Struthio camelus: one gene and its partner. The protein of the gene in region 1 interacts with the protein of each later gene in a pairwise test. Links are inferred from orthologs where the notes say so. Each region holds a gene or a part of one and is shown on either strand. Other genes may lie near its edges.

Evidence for each region. The genes of interacting proteins can lie anywhere in the genome.
Region 2: the proteins of ITSN2 (region 1) and WAS interact in a two-hybrid assay, tested with the Homo sapiens proteins (2 studies listed by BioGRID). The link is inferred for Struthio camelus from reciprocal best matches to the Homo sapiens genes ITSN2 and WAS.

Annotation. Positions count from the first base shown.
Region 1 is NC_090944.1:15,522,111-15,533,164, forward strand, and holds the start of ITSN2 (intersectin-2), read left to right. Parts: upstream 1-6,247; 5' UTR 6,248-6,372; intron 6,373-7,020; exon of another isoform or gene 7,021-7,041; intron 7,042-11,054.
Region 2 is NC_090979.1:341,422-352,053, forward strand, and holds the start of WAS (actin nucleation-promoting factor WAS), read left to right. Parts: upstream 1-5,343; 5' UTR 5,344-5,595; coding exon 5,596-5,706; intron 5,707-6,615; coding exon 6,616-6,756; intron 6,757-7,229; coding exon 7,230-7,316; intron 7,317-7,736; coding exon 7,737-7,833; intron 7,834-8,294; coding exon 8,295-8,336; intron 8,337-8,491; coding exon 8,492-8,542; intron 8,543-8,879; coding exon 8,880-9,060; intron 9,061-9,235; coding exon 9,236-9,278; intron 9,279-10,063; coding exon 10,064-10,217; intron 10,218-10,632. Other genes in the region: TBC1D25 (TBC1 domain family member 25), read left to right, coding at 311-435, 1,025-1,231, 1,314-3,326. UniProt on the Homo sapiens protein: Effector protein for Rho-type GTPases that regulates actin filament reorganization via its interaction with the Arp2/3 complex. Important for efficient actin polymerization. Possible regulator of lymphocyte and platelet function.

The DNA.
Region 1 (11,054 bases):
TCCCTAAGCCTAACACACCAACACAATTTGGCTGAAGGCTGCTAAACTAGATCCAGCCATCTGCATGCAACAGCTTTAAGCCACTAGTTGGAGTTACTGCACGATGTTGTTCACTGCATCAGCAAAAAACACTTCATATCTGCAACTGTTGTCACTGTCATGGATAATAAAGTGCAGCACAGCACCAGGCAAGCAGAGGGGGGCAGTCGCACCTCAAACTGTCAGCATCACAGCTGGGAGGCAAGAGTCACAGTCATTCACTGGAAACTTCCAATGTTCCTTTAACGCAGAGGTTTGGGCTATTAATTGTATGAATACTTTACTTTCTTACAAGGTTTTGTGTCGTATCTGTATCATAGGCCTTACTTTCTCTATAGCATGCCTGTGTCTTTCCAGAAATTTGAAAATCTGCTAAACTTTCCTTTTCACAGCAACTTCCAAAGTGTTGCAGATCTGAAGCGAGCTATTTCAAAATTGATTCTTACCTCATTTATCTTTTAAAAGCAACTTGGGGTACTTCATTACGGTAAAACATATGAGAGTTCTTTTCACATGCATTTGTTTCTGCACTTGCAGCTCTGGGTTGCCAAGGTATTATTTATTAATTAGAGCATAAGGATTACAAATTGCAACAAATAACCTTGCTTAACCCTATTAACGTGTTACTGCTAGCACCTCAAAATTGCAAAATTTCTGTATGTTTGTATGTTTCTGAATTCCTGTGCTATAGCTGGTAAAACCTTATTTGCCAAAATTCAGTCTGTATGAGTCAGTGCTGCCTTCACATCACATTCTGGCCTGTCTGGAAATCGACTTTCTATATGGTTATATAGATGTTCTATAAATCTTAAAATAAATTCAGTGTGGTTGGCCAAAGGAGCCTTTGCTACTCTTTGAACAAGTGCAGTCTAGCTTTCCCTCCCCTACAAAATAGTATTTGTCCTTGGCGGGGAACAGAGTTGGGACATGATTTTTTGTTTATTTTATACAGATTAACTAGCAGAAAATCCTGCAAACTAATACAGTAGCTTGTAACGTTTGTTTTTTTAAGTACTGTGTGGGTTTCTGGTTCAGAATTCAAAAGAGGATCTCTAAAAATACTATTTTTGACGTAGTATGTATTTGTGCCTTGTATACCTTTTTGATAACTATTACTCAGAATGAACATCAGAAATACACCACTCCTATTGTGTTAGGTATAGAAAGTATATATTAACTTGTCCGTTTGTTTATCCCATTGGGTTGCATGCTTCCAGGTTTAAATAAAGGCCTAGGCTAAAGAAAGTATCATACATTTGCTCAGAAGGAAGAAAGTGTTTAAACCATTTTGGTGTAAAAACGAGCCTCGCAGCAGCATTAAGTGACAGCTCATTGCTTTCTGTATTAGCTGAGGAGAAAAGGAGGAGGCTCAAAAAAAAAAATGTTAGCATGAATGGTAACATTGATTCGAATAAAGGGGCCAGAGCAGTCATTCATCAGGCAGGTGTGGCTGGTGAATATGTTTTAAATAGCTGGGACAACAAGCTGGACTCTCCAGTTTAGGAAATGCTTCCCATTACCAAGCAAAATTTAACAAGAGACCACAAGTGGAACCTGTGCAGAGCAGCGTGCTGCAATTTTTGCTTTTTGACCATTCAGAAATCGTTGTCACTTTATTTAACATTCCCTGATCCCTAATCAGTCGCCATTCACAGAATGTGGCTTATTCTTGGCAGTAATTGGTTTCTGGTGTTCAAAATTTATGCTCTTTGCTTAATTTCCAATGTTTTAACCATGTGCTTGAAGAGACATATCTGTCAGCAAGCTTGGGCACTACCTGGTCAGAGGGCTCGGACTGGAAGAACAAAGCATTGGGTTTTGGTATGTCTTTCAGCAGCACAGCAGAGAAAATAAGCGATATTTTCAAGTAAACTGAAAGCAGGGAAAAAGTCATGCCTACTGCTCAGTTCAGACCGAGCAACTTTATCCATGATCTCTTTTGCTACCAGTGGAGATCTTCCCTTATTACTCTACAGATTGCAAAGCTGCTTGTACCTGGGAACTGATGATAGAATACAGATAATGATTAGAAAGTAAAGCATTAGAATAAAAATTGGAGTTGTTTTAGTATTTGTAGTTTATCTAGCTTCAGAATTTGTGGTAGGTTTTTGCTTCTGTATGTGGCTTTAGGCTCAGATGTTACAAGGGAAGAATAGCAAATGGTAACATAGTAATACTAAACGTCGAGGTATTGCTTATAGCAAACCCTACTTCTCCTTTTCTGCTTCTCCTACATGTTTCATCTAATGGTCTCTTCTCAGTATTTGCTATGCTGTAACCCTATGTATTTGCTATGCTGTAACCTGTTCCCTATGTGTGGAACAGGTCTCTATGCTATCATACCACTGGTTTCTTCTCCTTTCAGCTGTCTTTCCTATTACTCATCAGTTATTATTAAGTAATTTCCCTGACCCTAATGGCTTTCTGTCACAAACAAATTCATTCCAGCAGTTTTAAGTTGCGTTGTCACTGTCTACTCCTTGCCAGAAAGGTATTAACTCCCACCAGAAAGGGCTTTTCTTTCACCTACTACTTGACATCAGCCCCCAACACTGCATGTTGAAGCCTGCAAAAAGAACGCTCTCCCCAAACTCTGAGATGCCCAAAGGCAGAGACTACAACAGTGCTTCTAGAAACTCCACCTTCACAAAAGTAGAGTGTTTTTCTTCTGAACATACTTTAAGCATTAGACAAACTCAGAATGAAAACAAATTCAATCTATCAAACCAGAGGACAGAATTCTTCATTTTAAAGAAATGGCAATGCACTTACTAAATTAAAAAAAAAAAAACCACCAAAAACCACAGAGTGGACATAATACTTTTTTTTGCCTCAACTATCTTCTCCATTTGGGGAATTAAGAGTTAGTTCAGATTCACTCAAAGGATACATTTTGCTAACACTAGACTTTGGATGTCTACATGCTCCAACTACAAGGAAGAATGATTGACTGCATGCGAATGTGTCTTCACAGCGGCCTGAGTCCTGTTTGTCTTCCTGCTAATTAATCTTACAGATATTTACTGTTCTAATACTACAGATTAGCTCTGCTTATTTTTCTAGAATAAGATCACATAAAGCTTTTACATGCTAATTCCTCACACACGGTTTTCTCCTTGGGGAGTCAGCTGAACTGTGCTTGCTTTCTGACTTCTCCTTCCCAGGCAACGTGGCTCATGTTATTACAGCTTTTCACGGCTTAAATTTGCTATCATGGGAGGTATTAGGCAACATCTGCAGTTATCTCAAAATGAGCTACATTGCTACTTTTCTATAAGCATCTTACATAACAGTAATAACATGGGTATGTCCTCCCACTATCTGTTACGTTTACATAATCAAGTATCCTGATGCCCTTTATACACTTCCTGCTTTGTGCAGTCTGTCACCTAAAAGCAATTGTTAGGCAGCATGTTTGATTGTTGGTTTTTACTGAGTTTAATAACTTATCTTTAGATGGCAGCATGTTTTAGACAGGAGTAGAGAAACAATTTGCGATGTTTTTCAACATAGTACGAGGAATCTCATTACCCATACTGAAGAAGGCTTTTACTTCTTCTTTCATATAGACAGATTATCAAATGTGAGAAACATATGAGAAAACTCTGTTGGCTTTATTTAGCATTACCTGGTATGGGGGAGGGGGACGTTTAACAATAAGAACATAAAACACATAACCAGTAGATGTTAAGTTACAAAAATTGCACTTAGCGTACCAATGTAAGGCGGAATTCAACCCTGAAGATGTAACAGCTTTGAGATACCTCCCTTGCGCTTCTGCTGAAATTTGCAGCAGAGGTAACAGAGGCAGAAAAGCAGGTACCATTAGCAAGTATAGGTCTTATTCTAGCCCGTCCATAGGCTTAAGTAGTTGCAGACCTGTATATAAAATTAAAATCAACTAAACATACATTAAAAATACCCCCCCTACACCATTCACCTTCCCTTGTGATCATGCGTGCAAAAAGTACACCCTACCACATCCTGAGCACCTGGCTCTAAGGTACAGCTTTCCAACTCTCCTCCCTCTGGTTTTATGCATGACTCTTTGGCCAGTGGAACAAATGTCACACAGTACAACGACCCAAATCCATCCCTTTAGCGGGACTAGGCAGTAGCATTAATTATAGGGAAAAAAAACTGTAAGAAGTCATCTAGTTCAATGTTCTGTTTCAAGGCAGGATCAACAAAATTTACATAATTCCTCACAGTTCTTCGTCTAACCTGTTCTTAACGACTTTTGATGACAGATGTTCTACCACCCTTCCCAATACTTAACTATTGTAATTGCTAACCTGATCTTTTTCTTCCTATGAGAAGAAACATGCTTATCAAGTTTATAGTTATCTCCTTCCTCTCTGCAACAGGTTTTTGTGCATCTGGAGACTGTTATATTCAATGTAAGCATTTATCTTAGACCCAAAGCAGGTTGTAGGTGTTGCCTACACAAAAAAGTCACATTTAGAACTATGCAATATCACTATAACATGTAGTAAATTGATTAAAGGCTGCTTATTAATAGACATTAGAAAGTAATTTAAATGAAAAATTGTCATATGAGAGACTTTTTAAATTGGGCTCCAAAGGAATCTGTTCTTGACCCAGTGCTACTCCATTATCTCAGTCAATCAACTGTTTGGCAAAAAGTAAAACACTGCTCATAAAATTTGCAGATCATTTCAGAACAGCTGAAGGCCTAGACGACGGTATAGACTGGTCACCACCGAATGACTTAAATCACATAGTAAGCAAGAGTCACTTGAACAACATATGTTTTAATCCATCTCAATGGCATATATCTTGAGGCATCAAAGACTAGGTTGCTGACTGCGTATAGGAGCCAAAATGCAGAGCATACTTTCAGGCTGGGAGCAAGGAAGGCAGATACTGTATTTTGGAAAGCATTAAGTCAGAAGAGAACTGAGGAGGTCATGAGGGTAAGCAAATGAATGCAAGCTGTCCATGCAATGTGGCAGCTATAACAGCAAATGCAAACATTGGATGTCTAAGCAAAAATATTGAAGAACAGCATGCGCTGCTATGGCCATTATATAGCACAATAAGGAGACTATTCTGGAATCAAGATTAGTTATAAAAGGTGTAACAAATTGGAAAGGTTAAGGACCTAGAAAAATGAGTCTAGAAAAATCTGTTCTGTATTTGAGGGTGATACGTAATTACCTACACAGAAAAAAATAGAGCAGAAAGACACTGTAATCTTTCATATATAGCGCGATCCAGTCATTGAAAAAGCTCTGGAAATGTTTATATAAGAGTACAAGTAATTAATAAAAATCAATGATAAATATATTGCTTAAACAGTTTATGATAATATTGCTTAAACAGTTTTCCAATAACAAACGTACTTCAATTTTTAATGGTTAAAAGCTAAGTCATTTTTTCCCCCCGAGTCTCCTTTTTATAGAATTCCTTAACTCATTTTTTGACAAAATAAACTCGTGAAACCCTAAATATTGCAGTGTGCTGAGCAGTGCCTGATGCTAGCGGAGGTCAGTTCCTCGTGCCTGCCTCATCCTCACCGGCATCGGGGCCCGGCAGCACACGCTTCCCATCCGAGAGCGACGCCCGGCGCTCCCCAGGCCCCTGCGGTAGCTCTCCAGGGGAGGGAGATCACTGCCCAGTGTGCAAAAAGAAGCTGTAATAATTGAGATAGGACTGCGATCTTTAAGAGATCGTTACCAATGTTTAAGAGAAACAGCTAGAAAACCGAAGGAAAAATCATTTGCGGCGAAAAAGGGGTAACGGTTGTGCCAGAAGTTGCAATCAACCGCGAGAAAGACTTCGGTAAGGACGCGGTAAATTTATTTCAACTCGAGGCTTTCAATGGCAGCTGGTTCTACGCCAAAAATGGTGCTGCCCAGCCGGCAACGCCGTCAGGCGCTTCCCGCAAGAGTCGCTGAGCGGCACGGCCGCCCCTGTGCTGCGAAGGCAGACCGGGCGACGTCCGCAGTTGCCCCCTCGGCGCCTCTGGAGCCCCGAGGGGCTGTGAGGGCGCGCGGCTCAGAGCCAGGCGCCGGCGCCCCGCCAGCCCCCGCCCGCCGCCCACCAACCGCTCCAGCCCCGTCACGGCTGGCCGCCGGCGCTGGGGGGCAGGGCAGGGGGCGACGCCCCACGGCCAGGGCCCGCAAGCCGGGGTGCCCTCGGGCCGCGCCTGGCCGGCCCCGGCCCCCCTCCCCTTCCCCCGCCCCGCCGGCCGCCTTCTTGCCCGGGCGGCCCCCGCCTCCGCCGCCATGTTGTGGGGCTGACGCTGCCGCCGCAGGAGGCGGAGGAGGGAAGACGGCGCGGAGCAGGCGCTCGCGGGCGGCGCAACAGGTAGCAGCGGCCGGGGCTGTAACGCGGCGGCGGGAGCGGGGCCCCGAGCCGGCGGGCTGCGGCGGAGCGCGGCGAGGCGAGGACGGGCGTGAGGGGGGCGGCCGGGCTCGGCCGCTCCCGCCGCCGCCGCCGCCGCCGCGGCGCTGTCAGCCCGGCCGCCCGCGGGAGCGGAGGGGCCGGGGCCGGGGCCGGGCAGCGCCGCTCCGCCTCGTCGCCCGACCAAACCGTCCGGGCAGAGCAGGGCGGCGGGGGCGTAGAGGAAGGGTCTGTTGGACCGAGCTGAATTTATTTTTCCCCTTTAAACACCTTTTTTTTTTTTTTTTAAACCTTGCATTTAAAAATAGCGTTTTGCGTATGTTTTGCTCCCGCCGCTGATTTTTTTTTTTTTTTTAATTTTTTCGCCCGAGCGTGAGGCGAGGCCGCCGTGGGGCGGCGCGGGAGCTGTCGGGCCGGGCCGGGCCGCCCGGTGCCGCTGCGGGACCCCGCAGACGTGCGGGGGGCGGAGGGGAAAGAGGCAACGCGAGCAGAACCGAAAACAGCGACTGTAGCTCCCAGCGCTGGCGTTAATTCTGCTGGTCTTAGTGTTGTTAGTAGCGACGAAAAAAAGAAAAATCCCGTGTCGGGACCCAAACAGCTTGGTGCCTACCCGAGGGAGCGGGCTGGGGTTGGGTAAGTGGGGCAGGCTGATGAAGCCAGCTGAAGGGGTAGCTGGCTCGCTAGTCTCATGATTTCCTTTCTGATAGTTGCTGTGAAAACCTGGAGACTGTAGGCATTAAAAGCTGGTGACGGTCAGCTTCTGTAGTTAAAGCCCGCGACTTGTTCTGTTGGTGGATTGCCTTTCCTTCGTCTTGACTTTACACCAGGAAACGTAATAATTCAGGAAATAAAATGGAGCCGCGAAGTACAACCAAGTCCTCTACGCGTAACTATAATAAGTAGTATTTTAATTACATGAATATGATTTTCATAGCGGGTGGCACTCTTGACACCTGTCACGTTGCCGAACTTGAAAGTCGATTGTGCTTTAAGTAGTACATACAATCTTTTAACCTTTGCTCGCGTAAGTCGTGTTACGCCTAAGTCAGAAATTCCTCATCTAAAACACCGGAATGAGAAGTTACAAGCCGCTCGCCCCTACCTTCGGGCAGCTGGATCCCACGCATCTCTTTGGGAAGCTAGCGCTTTAAAGTTGTTTCGTTCGTGCTTGCCTGGGGTGGCAGCAGTTCCTGCATTTGTGTATACACAGGAAAACATAGGAAGCTTATTAAGCAGTGTGCATAGCCTGCTTCGCCACGGTGCGTATAGCATTAGTGGTTCATAAAATGGATTTTGCTTTAGAGAGTTTTAGATGAGCGTTTTTCTGAAATTCAGTTGAAACGTAACTGTAGCTGTAATAAGATCTGGATCCGCTGATGTGACAGTGATATTTAGAAATTACGAGCGTTAGGAATTGACTAGGTAACTGGCTGGGGCTTCATTCTTGCATTAAACCTTATTCATTTTCTTTCTCATCCCTCCACTTTACCATCCCTGTTTATTTTTTCCATTCCTTTTATTTTAAGTTGGGAGGGAAGGGTTCACTGTCTTACTTATAGAGCTTGAAGATCCATATGAAGTTAAGAGAGAAATGGATCCCTGTAAACATGGATTTACATTGCCCAGTGCTCTCAGATATATAGCAGTTTTGGTCAAATTAGCCTCCTAACTCAGATATCTAAATTAGATCAAGTGACTATGCTCTCCCTTTTAATTACTATTTCGGAAGGGTTAATTTTTTTTCCCCTCTATCTATAGAAGATCTAGGGTATGGGATGTATCCCTGACTGCGTTCTCAGTTGCTACTGTAATATAAAGAACGTTTTATAAGGCTAACAATGGCAAAAGCACGGTAGCTACTGTTCTTTGTGCTTATCACCGTATGGTGCTACCTGTCATAGGAGGTGTTATGCTAGCAGTGAATTATGGCCTGTGTGTGTTTGTTTTTTTCCCTCGTTGTTACAGACCAACTGGGATGGATCAAGGCGGAAGTGAGCTGTTAATGACTTCAAACTGTGTTGTTGAGGAGGCTTTATATATTGACTTTCAGGTATTAGAGTGATAGAGACTATGGAGGCTTATTCACAAATATTTATGTTGTGGTCTTTAATATTAAAAAGTGAATTAACTTCATCTTTGACAGCTGCTACCTGACTACGAAATAAAGTTAAAATCTGTATGCTGTTGTAACTATTCATTCAGCTACTTATGTGGAGCTGATGGGGGGAAAATGGGACAGGGTTTGAAAAATGAAAGCTAACGTAGGTGCTTTACCCGAGGCATTGTTAAAAAGCTTCCTAATCCTTGAAAACAGGTATCTATCAGGAAAGGACCATGTGATTAATTACTGAAAAGCATGGTAGTTGGATCACTAGATCCTGTTGCAAATTCAGACAGAAGTCTTTGGTCTGAGAGATGACCTGTTATTTACAGGTGAAGCCTCTCTCTCACCTTAAAAGATTTAGTTGAATCAGTTTGTATAACTGGGGGTGGGGGGAAAAACATTCCATCTGACTTCCTTTGGAAGTCCTGAATTCTTCCCTTTGTTTTTTATGTGTTTTATTTTTTTGAACTGGCTCAAAAGTTGGATATATTCGTTTTTAATGTTCATTTCTGGCCTATTTTCACTTGAAATATCTCAAATTTCTCAGTTTTAAAAATAACTTTTAACTGCTTCCATTTGCTTTCATTTGCCTAAAATGTAGTCATAGGATAATTTAGCTTGGAAGGGACCTCTGGAGATCATCCAGTTCACGCCGCACTCGAAGCAGGGCAATCCGCTTGCTTGACGCCATGTCGAGTCAGGTTTGGAAGACCTCCGCGGGTGGAGATCCCACAGCCTCTCTGTGCAGCCTGCTCCAGTGTTTAACCCACTGCCAATGTGTCAACCTCTCTTCTGAGTTTGACATTCTCCAAACTTGCTGTGGGTGCACGTTGTCCCCTTGTCTTCGCTGACAGTCTGGACGTTACGCGGTATTTATTGGCCATCGTATCAACTTCTAAGGAGTAATATTAGTAAGAGGCTGCTAGATGGTTTTCGCACTACTGGTTGCAGCCCTTTAAATCCAGTGGTTGAGCCGGTTTTCCACCTAATTTACAGTCCAGCTATTCAAGCCATATCTTATCATTTTGGCTCTATGGATACTATGGGAGGCCTTGCTGAGAGCCTTCCTAAAGTCAGCACCCATGGTTTTCCCCTCATCCAAAGAGCTCGTAATCACAGAAAGCTGTCAGGTGGCTCACGTCTGGTTTATCCTGGGTAAATGCCTGCTGGCTCTTCCCAGTCACCTTCCTGTTCTTTGAGCATCTGTACATGGCTCCCAGCAGCATTTGATCCATAATCTTTCCAGGGCTTAGCAGCCTTTTGTGTCTCCACGTTGTCCCTCTTGCCCTTCCTGAAAATTTGATCTTTGCCTTTTTCCGGTCATCGGGATCCCCAATCACCGTGACTTTTCCGAAGTCATAGAGAGCAGTCTTGCAATGACATCAGCTCTCAGCAGCACTGGTCCTGTGCTTTGTTCTGCATGTATTCCACTGCTATACTTGTTTTCAGGTTACCTTATTTTGACTTCTGAAGGCTGTTTTCAGTTCAGTGTAATACCACAAACTCTTGGCAAGGTCTTAGATGTTGGGTCGTGCCACATTTCTAAGCTTTTGAGGGAAGTTTGATGAACAGTCCTTTTGTGAAAATTCTGAGAGCGGAAGGTTGCTGAATTTATGAACTTGTGTTGTTGCTTTTAGATGGGAGCACTCATTTCGTGTGGCTAAATGATACGGGAAAGTCTGCCCTTTCTTCCCCTTTCTCTTCATGTTAGGTAATCAGAGGTGATTGTAAAGATAACAAAGGTAATGGAGAGTTAGTTAAGGAATTGCTCTTAATGCACTTAGATGCATTTTAAACACTATCACTTGTCAGTACTGTATTCTTTTCAGCTTCAAAAACACATTATTGTCATTTAACTTCACATCTTTGAAAATCAGATTTTCTTTTTGTGCCCTGGTCGACGATAGATGATGCAACAGATGATTTGCAGGGCAAACACTGTTGTTAGATTGCAAGCAATGAATACCTAGTCAGATTTTCAGAGTGCTTTAAGCAGCTGTCTTAAGTGATCTTCAAATTCTCAAATGCTTAGTTGCAAATGTAGATGCCTAAATACCTCTGGAAATCTGTTTTTCAGTGCTTGTCAGTGCAGAACTGTGAGGCTCGTCTCTGACTGTAAGTTGAGTTTCTTCTGAACAACGGGCCAACGCGAGTTGAATTTCTAAACCAGCCGTGAGCGGTGCCAGTTGTGAAGCTTTGTTTCCTGTGGCTGTTTGCATGTAGTCAGAGGCAAGCTGTAGTTGAAGTTTTTTCTCATGGCTGGTATGTTCAGAACAGCTTTGAGTCACGTGGATGCTCTGGGGTCTGATGTTTATAGGCTAACTTTGGTGGCGTCTTCTCTGCCTGGCTGCCCGTTTTCTTGAATCTTGCAAATAGTCAGTATCTTTGTGAAGTGCGCCGTTCCGTCAAATTTCGTTCATGTTGGTTCCGTGATTAGTCAACGCGCATAGTAATTACTCATATCTCATGCCCTTACAAGTCACACTAAAAATTTAAGTATGCTAATTATTAGCCTATTGCTCCTCCTTCCATTGATTCACTT
Region 2 (10,632 bases), on another chromosome or scaffold:
TGGGTACTGGCTGGGGGGACCCAGGTGTCTGGGGAGAGCCCCTGATCCCAGGACCAGAAGGGGACCCAGGCGTCTTGGAGAGGGTGGGGGGACCCAGGTGTCCTGGGGGTGGCACATCAGGGGCCCGGGTGTCTGGGTGCCCAGGGTGGGCTCTCGAGCAGCGTAGAGGAGACCCAGGTGTCCGAGCGGCCTGGGGGTTGTCATGGGGGCTCTCGAGTGGCATGGTGGGGACCCAGGCGTCCAGGGACCCGTGGGGGGCAGGGTTGCAGGAGTGGCGGAGCAGGAGGGACCCAGGCGTCCGGGCCCGCAGGCCCGCTGCTGGAGGACTGGGACATCATCAGCCCGCGGGAGGCGGCGGGGGCCGAGCCCCCCGGGCCCGAGCGCCGCTCGCTGCTGGCCGCTGCCCTGCCCTTCACCCAGGCCCTGCTGGCACAGGTGGGTGCAGGGCCTCCCAGGGCTCCCAGTTCCCCTCCCCAGGCCCTCCCAGAGCTCCCAGTTCCCCTCCCCAGGGTCTCCCAGCGCTCCTGGGCTCCCCCCCAACACCTCCCAGTGCCCCTCCGACGCTTCTCAATGCCTCCAGTTCTCTCCCAGACACCTCCCAGTGTTCCTAATTCTGCTCCAACACCCCCCATGGCCTCCAGTGCCTCCAGTCCCTTCCCAGACACCTCCCAGATCTCCCCCTCTCTCCTCCTTCTAGTGCTCCTAGTGCCCCTCGACACTTCCCAGAGTCCCCAGTCCCTTCCCAGATGCTTCCCAGTGTCCCCAGTCCCCTCCCAGGTGTTTCCAAGTGTTCCCAGTTCTGCTCCAACACCTCCCAGTGCTCCTTTGACACCTTCCAGTGCCCCCAGTCCCTTCCCAGACACTTCCCAGTGCCCCTTGACACTTTCCAGCGCTCCCACTCCCTGCCCAACACCTTCCAATGCTTCCTAGACTCCTCCTAGTTCCCCCTCAACACCTCCCAGTGCTCCTAGTCCCCCCCCAACGCCTCCCCGTGCTCCTGGCTCACCTGCCGCCCCCCACACAGGTGGGCCGGACACTGGCGCGGGCGCAGGCGGCACTGGCCTGGCCTGAGGGCTCCCCACCGCCACCGGCGTCGCCTCCGCCACCGCCGCGGGCCCCGCTGAGTGATGCTGACCTGCGCAGCTACCTGGGCCCCGGTGGGCGCCTGGCCCGGCCCCGCGACCTCCGCCTGCACGTCTACCACGGGGGAGTCGAGCCCGGCCTGCGCAAGGTATGTCTTGCCCCGCCACCGTCCCCCACCCCTCCTGCCCGGATGCCAGGGTCCCTAATGGCGTGGCCTCATCCCCGCACAGGTGGTGTGGCGCTACTTGCTCAATGTCTTCCCGGCGGGGCTCTCGGGCCAGGAACGCCTGGCCCACCTGCGGCGCAAGGCAGCCGAGTATGGGGCGCTCAAGGCCCGCCTGGCGGCCCAGGCGGCCCCTGGCGAGCTGGCGCTGGTGGGGGCTGCTGTGCGCAAGGACGTGGTGCGCACTGACCGCGGCCACCCCTACTTCGGGGGGCCTGAAGAGGGGCACCCGCACCTGGCCGCCCTCCAGGCCTTGCTCACCACCTTCGCCCTGGGCCACCCGCGCTTGTCCTACTGCCAGGGTATGTCAGATGTGGCTGCCCCACTGTTAGCCGTTCTTGATGACGAGGCCCAGGCCTTCATCTGCTTCTGCGCCCTCATGCGCCGCCTGGCTCCCCGCTTCCGCCCTGGCGGCCGGGGCCTGGCCCGGGCTTTTGGGCACCTGCGGCGGCTGCTGCGGCGCGCCGACCCGCCGTTCTGGGCCTTCCTGGCCGCCCGCGGCGCCCACGACCTCCTCTTCTGCTACCGCTGGCTGCTACTGGAGCTCAAGCGGGAGTTCGCCTTCGAGGACGCTCTGCGGGTGCTGGAGATCACCTGGAGCTCGCTCCCACCTGCCCCGCCGCCCCCTGCCGACGGTGTGCCGCTCCTTGGTGCCCCCCTGGGCCCCCGGCGGGCTCGCTGTGGGCTCCGCGAGCGCCGCGGGCTCCGGCCCCGGCCCCCCCGACGGCACCGGCGCCAGTGCAGGGCCCAGGAGGCGGCTACGCTGGGCGCAAGAGGAGCTGAGAAGGAGCCTGGAGACGACGCTGAGGGGCTGAGTGGCCTCGGGGATGTCCTAGAGGCTCCAAAAAGCTGCGGAAACCTCCAAGAGGATCCAAAGGTCTCCAGAGATGTCCAGGAGGATCCAAATATCCCCACAAACGCCCAAGAAGATCCCAAGATCAGTGACGTCCAAGATGCTGCTAAGGTTTCCACAAACATCCAGGAGGATCTGAAGGTTTCCCAAGGTGCGCCAGGTAGTCCTGAGATCTCCCAGGATGGTGGAGCGAAGTCGGAGGTCCCAGATAATCCCGAGACCAACCGAGGTGTCACAGAGGATCTCCATGTCTCCCGGGACATCCCAGAGGATCCCAAGGCCTCCAGGGAGGCCAGAGGGGGACCCGGTGTCCCCAAAAAGGCTGATGAAGACCCTGACATCCCCAAGGAGGTTGGCCAAGACCCCAACACCCCCAAGGAGGTTGACCAAGATCTCAGCATCTTCAAGGAGGCTGAACAAGACTGCGATGTCCCCCAGAAGCTCAGCCAAGGTCTCAACGTTCCCAAGGTTGGCCCAGAACCCGACATCTATAAGGAGGTTGGTCAAGACTTTGGTGTCACCAAAGAGATTGGGCAAAACCTCAACGCGTTCGAGGAAGTTCGCCAAGATCTCAACGTGCCGCAGGAGGTTGGCCAAGATCTCAGCATCCTCAAGGAGGTTGGTCAAGAACCCAGCGTCTTCAAGAAAGTTGGCCAAGACCCAGGTGCCTTCAAGGAGATTGGCCAAGAGCTCCGCAGCCCCCAGAAGGTTGGCCAAGACCCTGACGTCCCCGAAGACGCTGAAGCAGACGCTGCCACCCTCCCCGAGGTTGGTGAAGCTGATGATGACCCCTGGGCCGGCCCGTGGGCTTGGGAAGATTCCTCCTCCTCCTCTTCCTCCTCCTCCTCCTGCTCCTCCTCCTCCTCGTCGGAGGACGAGGTGGGTGTGGAGGACGACGGGGCGCCGCTGCCACCGCCGGAGGAGCTGGGCCAGGGCAACCCCTTCCTGCTCTTTGTGTGCCTGGCCATGCTGCTGGAGCAGCGTGAGGCCGTCATGGCACGGGCCAGCGACTACAATGAGGTGGCCATGCACTTTGACCGCCTGGTGCGCCGCCACGACCTGCCCCGGGTGCTGCACCGCGCCAAGGCCCTCTTCGCCCGCTACCTCGAGGGCTGGGGGGGGCGTGGCGGCCCCGGCGCGGGTGACAGCGACCCTGCTGAGCCCTGACGCCTGCCCCCTGCTGCCGCGCCTGGCCGAGAGGGGTGTGGGGGGAGCTGGGGGCACCTATGGAGCCCCCAAGGGGGCCCCGAGACCAGCTGAGGGACGCAGAGATGTCCGTGGGGGTGTATAGATGCCTCTGGGGACCCTATAAAGCCCCTGAGGTGGCCCACAGAGCAGCTTAGGGACCCCAGAGATGCCTATGGAGCGGTGTAGAGATCCCTGGGGACCCTATGGAGCCCCCAAGTGGGCCCTGAGACCGGCTGAGAGACCTGGAGACGCCCATGGGGGGCTATCGATGTCCCATGGACCCTATAGAGCCCCCGAGGAGACCCATAGACCAGCATATGGACCCCATAGATGCCTGGGGGGACCTATAGATCTTCCTTGGGGACCCCTAGATCAACATAGCTATTCTGAAGGCATGCATGGGGACCCATAGATCCCTTTTGGGGACCCATAGACTCCCTTAGGGACCTGTAGAAAATCCTGGGGACCCTATAGATCCCCCTTGGCAGCCGTAGACCAACATAGGGACCTTGTAGGCACCCATGGGTACCTATAGCTCTCCTTTGGGGATCTGTAGGTCCCCCTTGGAGGCCCATGGACCAATGTAGGAATCCCCTAGGTACCCCTCAGGGACCCATAGACACGCCTGGGAATGTATAGGTTGGCATAGGGATCCCCTTGACACTTCTCAGGGACCCAGAGATACCCATGGGGATGCCCTGAGGACCCATAGACCACCATAAGGACCTGTAGGCACCCCTCAGGGACCCATAGATCCCCCCTGGGGACCCATAGGCCCCCATGGGGACTGTAGGCACCTACTGGGGACCTGTAGACGCCTGCTACGGGGAGCCAGGGACATCGCAGCAGCCCCAGTACGGCCCAGTACAGCCCACTGCCTCCCCTGCCATTTCTCTACGTCGCCTCGGAGCGTCCCGGCGTGGACCAGTATGAACCAGCGTAGGTCTGGGGGCCCAACTGGGAGCTCCTGCATCTCCATGGCCTTGGGTTGGACCAGTTCGGACCAGCATGGACCAGTACAGCATCCTCATCGGGATTCCTCACCTGCGTGGCCTTGCGCCGTCCCAGTCCAGACCAGTACAGCGGCAGAGCTGGAATCTCTTCACCCACCTGGCCTTGGGCCATCCCAGTACGGACCAGTATGGACCAGTATGGCATCTCAACTGGGAGCTCCTCACCCACGTGGCCTTGCGTCTCCCAGTATGGACCAGTACGGACCGGTAGGGCACCCCCACTGGGACCTCTTCACCCACACAGCCTTGGGTCCTGCCAGTATGGACCAGTACAGCCCAGTGCCCTCCCCACCCGGTGCCTTCCTATGTCCCCCCTTTATTTATTGCCCCCCCCCCGCCCTCCATCCTACTGGGAGGGGCCCAGGCGTCCGGGGTGCTGCGAGGTGCAGAAGACGCAAATAAACCTGACGCCCATGTTTGTCGTTTGGAGGCTCCCAGTATGGACTGGGGATGGGCTGGGTGGGTCCCATTCCATACTGGGGAGGGATTACAGGTGCTTATATCGATTGGGAAGGAGCTGGGGATCCCAATCCGTACTGGGAAGGGGCTGGGGGAGTCCCAGTATGGACTGGGGAGGGGATAGGGCTCCTAGTATGGACGGGGAAGGGGCTGGGAGGCTCCCAGAATGGACTGGAATGACAATGAGGGATCCAAATCCATACTGGGAAGGGTCTGGGGGTCCCAATCCATACTGGGAAGGAGCTAGAGAGCTCCCAGTATGGACTGGGAAGGGGATTGGGGGGGGGTCCCAGCCTATACTGGGCCTGCAGTATGTACTGGTGGGTCGTGGCATGGACTGGGAAGGGCCTGGGGTTCCACTACAGACTGGGATGGTCCCAGTACGGTCTAGGACAGAGTTGGGACTCCCCTGAGGGGGGAGGGGAAGCCAAGGCGCCCGGATGCCTGGGCCCCCAGCCAGGGGGGAGGAGGGGGGGCCGCGGCCTTTGGCTGCTCCCAGTCCCTCCCAGTTCACCCCAGTGCCCTCCCAGTTCACCCCAGTCGCCCCCAGTCCGGAGGTGACGCGCGCTTCCGGGCCCGCTACACGGAAGAGGCCTCCGCGCGGGACCCAGGCGTCCGGGCCGAGGGCTCCCCACCTCTGCAGGGGACACAGGCATCCGGCTCGGGGAGGTGTTTCCCCCCCAGCCTCCTCCAGGAAGGGGGCCCAGGCATCCGGGGCCCATAAGCGGGGCCGGAGCCGGCGGGGGAGTGGGGAAGGGGCCCAGGTGACTGGGGCGATGAGCCGGGGGGGCCGGGGGGGGCCACCGGGGCCCGACAACGTCCCCTCGGAGCTGCTGCAGCAGCAGGAAAACCTGCGGCTCTTTGAGCTCCTGGGCCGGAAATGTGTGGTGAGGGGCCGGGGCAGATCTGGGGGTCCTGGGGGGGATTTGGGGGGCCCTGCAGGAACCCTAAGGGCTCTGGGGGGGATCTAGGGGGTCCTGGGGGGGGCTGTGGGGGACTTGGGGGGATTTGGGGGTCCCTGCAAAGGCCCTAAGGGTTCTGGGGGGATCTGGAGGGTCTTAGGGGGGGATTTGGGGGTCTGGGGGGGCCCTAAGGGCTCTGGGAGGGTATAGGGGGAATATGGGGGGCCCTTGGGCTGGGGGGGTCCTGGGAGGGGCCTAAGGGGTCTAGGGGGGGATCTGGAGGGGATATAGGGAGTCCTGGGAGGGATTTGGGAGGGATATGGGGGATGGGGGGATTTGGGGGGTCCTGGGGGGCTCTAAAGGGTCTGGGGGATATTTGGGTGGATCTGGGCAGTCCTGAGGGGGATTTGGAATCCCAAGGGGGTCAAGGGGGTGTTTGCAACATCCTAAGAACCTGTAGGAACCCCCTTGAGTGCTATAGGAGCTCCCCCCAGGCACTAGAGCCACCCACCTAGTCCCTGTAGAGGCCCCAGGTGCTATAGGGCCCCCACACATGCTTTAGAGCAGCTCCTGGGTGCTATAGGAGCCTCTCAGGTGCTATAGGGTATCTTTAGGGGCCATAGGGGCCCCTTGGTGCTATACATGCCCAAGTTGCTATGGGGTCCCCCCGGGTGCTATAGGAGCCCTTCGGGTGCCCAAGTTGCTATAGGGCCCCCTGGGTGCTATAGGGGATCCCTAGGTGCTATAGGGGCCCCCCAGGTGCTGCAGACCCCAATGAGCCCCCAGCCCTACAGGGACTCCCCAGCCCCATACCTCCCCCAGCACCGCAGGGCCCCCCCAGCGCCCTGCCCCCCCCCAGGGGTGCTATAGGCGCTATAGGGGCGGCTGCGGCAGACGCTGGCGACGGCGGTGGTGCAGCTGCTGGAGGCGCGGGGGCCGGGGGGGGCGGCGTGGACCAAGCGGGGCTGCGGCGTCGCCTGCCTGGTCAAGGACAGCCCCCGGCGCTCCTACTTCATCCGCCTCTACGACCTGCGGGTGAGCTGGGGGCCCTGGCATCCAGGTGGGGGGGCGGGAGACCCCCACGGGCTGGGTAAGAGGTGGCCAAGGGACCCAGGCGTCTGGGCGGGGGAGCCCAGGGGATGGACCACCACGGGCTGGGTGGGAGATGGCCAAGGGACCCAGGCGTTGGGGTGGGGGAGCCAAGGGGACCCAGGTGTCCAGGCAGGGGTGGCGGGAGACCCCATGGGCTGGGTGGGAGGTGGCCAGGGGACCCAGGCATCCGGGCAGGGGAGCTATGGGGACCGAGGTGTCTGGATGGGGGAGCCACGGGGACCCAGGCGTTGGGGTGAAGGAGCCACGGGGACCCAGGCGTCCAGATGGGGGAGCTATGGGGACCCAGGTGTCCGGGCGGGGGAGCCATGAGGACCCAGGCGTCCGGGCGGGGGGGGACGGGAGTCCCCACGGGCTGGGTGGAGGTGGCCAAGGGACCCAGGTGTCTGGGCGCGCAGGGCGGGTGCCTGTGCTGGGAGCAGGAGCTCCGGGCCCACATGGGCTATGCTGCCCCCACCCCCTTCTTCCACACCTTCCCTGCTGACGTGAGTAGGCGGGGCCAGGGGCGGGGGCGGGGCTTCGGCTGCTTGGGGCAGGGTAGGGTGGAGCCAACTGGATGGGGGCGGGGCTACAAGCTGGGGTGTGGCTACAGGTGGGGGTTGGGGTGGGGCTAGAGGTGGGGGTTGGGGCGGGGCATCCGGCCTGAGGGCGGGGCTCTGGCTCTGGGGGCGGGGCCGAGGGCGGGACTCTGTGCTGGGGCAGGGCTTCAGCATTGTGGGTGGGGCCAAGGGTGGGGTTAAGAGACTGGGGGCAGGGCTTAGAAGGCAGTGGGTGGGGCTAAAGGGGCCTGAGATGGGGCTGATGGATGGGGCAGGGCTAAGGGAGTGTGGGTGAGGTGGAGGGTCTGGGGTGGGCTGGGGCTGGGGCGGGGCTGGGGCGGGGCCAGGCGGTGATTGGCTGCGCAGGGCTGGCAGGCGGGGCTGAACTTCGCCCACGAGGGGGAGGCGGCAGCGTTCCAGGCCCTGGTGGAGGAGAAGGTCTGGAAGCAGCAACAGCGGGCGGGTGAGCTGCCCCACGGCCCTGCCCCATGGCCACCCACGGTGCCCCACAGCTTCCCCATGACCACTCACGCTGCCCCACGGCAGCCCCAGGGCCACTCACACTGCACCGGAGCTGCCCCACAGTGGCCTATGAGGCACTGGGGCTGCCCCACAGCCACCCCCCCTGTGCCAGGGCTGCCCCATGGCCACCCACGCTGCCCCGTGGCAGCCCCAGGGCCACCCACACTGCACCGGGGCTGCCCCACAGCAGTCCACGAGGCACCAGGGCTGCCTCATGGCCACCTCCAACAGCCCACAATACACACTAGGGCTGCCCTATGGCAACCCACAGTGCACTGGGGCTGCCCCACAGCCACCCACGATACACTGTGGTTGCCCTACAGTGACCCACTATGCACCAGGGCTGCCCTGGTGCCCGCCACGCCATGGGGCAGCCCCACATTAGCCCCTTTCCCTCCACAGAGAAGCGACAGCTCCCACCCCCACCACCCCCCACGGCTGATGGTGAGTTCCCCCCCCTATCCCGGGAGGCTTTGCGGGGCTGTGGAGGGGGCGCCGTGGGGCAAAGAGCCACGGGGAAGGAGGAGCCGTGGGGTGGCCATGGGGGGGATGTTGTGGGGCAGCCGTGGGGCGCTGACCTCCTCTGCCCCCCATCACAGAGCGCCGCGGGAGTCTGCCCCGGCCCCCTGCATCTGCCGGGGATGGCTGTGGTGAGTGACTGCCCCATAGCAGGGGCTCCGCTGCCCCACAGCGGGGTCCCTGCCCCATAATGGAATGTCCCTGCCCTATAAGGGGATCCTTGATGCCCCATAGCAAGTGGTTCCTGCCCCATAGTGGGGTCTCTCCTACCCTATAGTGGGTTTGCCTGCCCCATAGCACAGTCCCTGCCTCATAGCAGTGTTCTAGCCCCCTAGCAGGGTCCCCTCTGCCCCATAGTGGGTTCCCCTGCACCATAGCCAGTCTCTACTGCCCCAAAGGGAGTCCCCCTGCCCCATAGTGGCCGCCAAGCCCCATAGCGGCCCCCGCCCCACACACATGCCCCCGCAGCCCCCCCAGTGCCGGCTGTGCCCATTGCCAACCCCGACATCACGGCGAGCCGCTACCGGGGGCTGCCCAGCCCCACGGCTGGCCCCACAGCGGGCCCCACAGCAGGCCCCACAGCCACTGACCGCAAGCGGGGTCGCAAGAAGATCTCCAAGGCTGACATCGGGGCACCCTCCGGCTTCAAGTAGGTCTGGGATGTGTGGGGCTGGGGGGATGTGTGGGGTGGGGAGATGTGTGGGGCAGGGGGACGTGTGGGGCTGGGGGGGACGTGAGGGGCAGGGTACATATGGGGCAGGGCTCGGCCATGGGTCCAGCCCTCCTGCTATGGGGCAACCCCTCATATCACCACCCCCCACCAGGCACGTGGGTCACATCGGATGGGACCCCAACAGCGGCTTCAACGTACGTCACCCCATAGGGGCTGTGACCCTCAGGCCTTATGGGTGGAAGAACCCTGTGGGCCCCATAGGGGGGATGGACCCCCCCAAGCTCTATAGGGGAGAGACCCCCTGGGCTGTATAGGAGAAACACCTCCCTCCCATGGGCACTAGAGCTCCCCTGCAGAGGCTATAGGCCCCACACCCCTCTAGGTGGCAGCTATGTGCCCCACACTGCCCCGGGGTGGGTGCTATAGGGCCTGTACCCCCTTAGGTGGGTGCTATAGGGGTCATAACCCCCCAGGGCAAGTGCTATAGGGCCCGTACCCCCCCCCCGGGGCTGGCATTATAGAGGTCATACCCCCTGAGCCAGGCTCTATAGAGGTCATACCCCCTGGGGTGGGGTTTATAGGTTCCATATCCCCTGGGGTGGGTGCTATAGGTCCCATATCCCCTGGGGAGGTCCTATAGGGGTCCTATCCCCTGGGGCAGGCACTATAGGTCCCATATCCCCTGGGAAGATCCTGTGGGGTCCCCCCCCAGGGTGGGTGCTATAGGTCCCATACCCTCTGGGGAGGTCCTATAGGGGTCCTATCCCCTGGGGCAGGTGCTATAGGTCCCATATCCCCTGTGGTGGGTGCTATAGGTCCCATAGCCCCCTGGGGAGGTCCTGTGGGGTCCCACCCCCCCAGGGTGGGTGCTATACACCCCACGCCCCCAGGGCGGGGCGGGCAGCACGGCCCCATACCCGCGGGGAGGGCGGCGGGTGGTGCCAGCAGCCCTACGGAGGCCGTAGGTGCCGGGCCGCAGGTGCAGGAGCTGGACCCAGACTTGCGGGCGCTGTTCGCCCGGGCCGGCATCAGCGAGGCGCAGCTGGCCGACGCCGAGACCTCGCGCCTCATCTACGACTTCATCGAGGGCCAGGGCGGCCTGCAGGCCGTCAAGGAGGAGATGCGCCGCCACGGTGAGCCCCCCAGCGGCCGCGCAGCGCTCCCTGCGCCCCCGGGCCCGAGGGGCTCCGCCGCCCCGATGACGGCAGCCACCTGTCTCCTCCGGGGTAGGCCCCTCAGGCCCCGCTGTAAGACCCGTACGACCCTCGCCGTAGGGTCCGTAGTCCCCCAGATAGGCCCCATGCCCCCCCGTTAAAGCATCCATACCCTCCCCATTATAGGGTCCATACCCCTTCCTGTTATAGGGCCCTTATGCCCCATTATAGGGTCCATGGGCCTCCGTTATAGGGTCCATACCTCCTCCGTTATAGGCTCCCTATGCCCCGTTATAGGCCCCACCCCCTCCATTATAGGCTCCATACCTCCTCCGTTATAGGCTCCCTATGCCCCGTTATAGGCCCCACCCCCCCGTTATAGGCTCCATGCCTC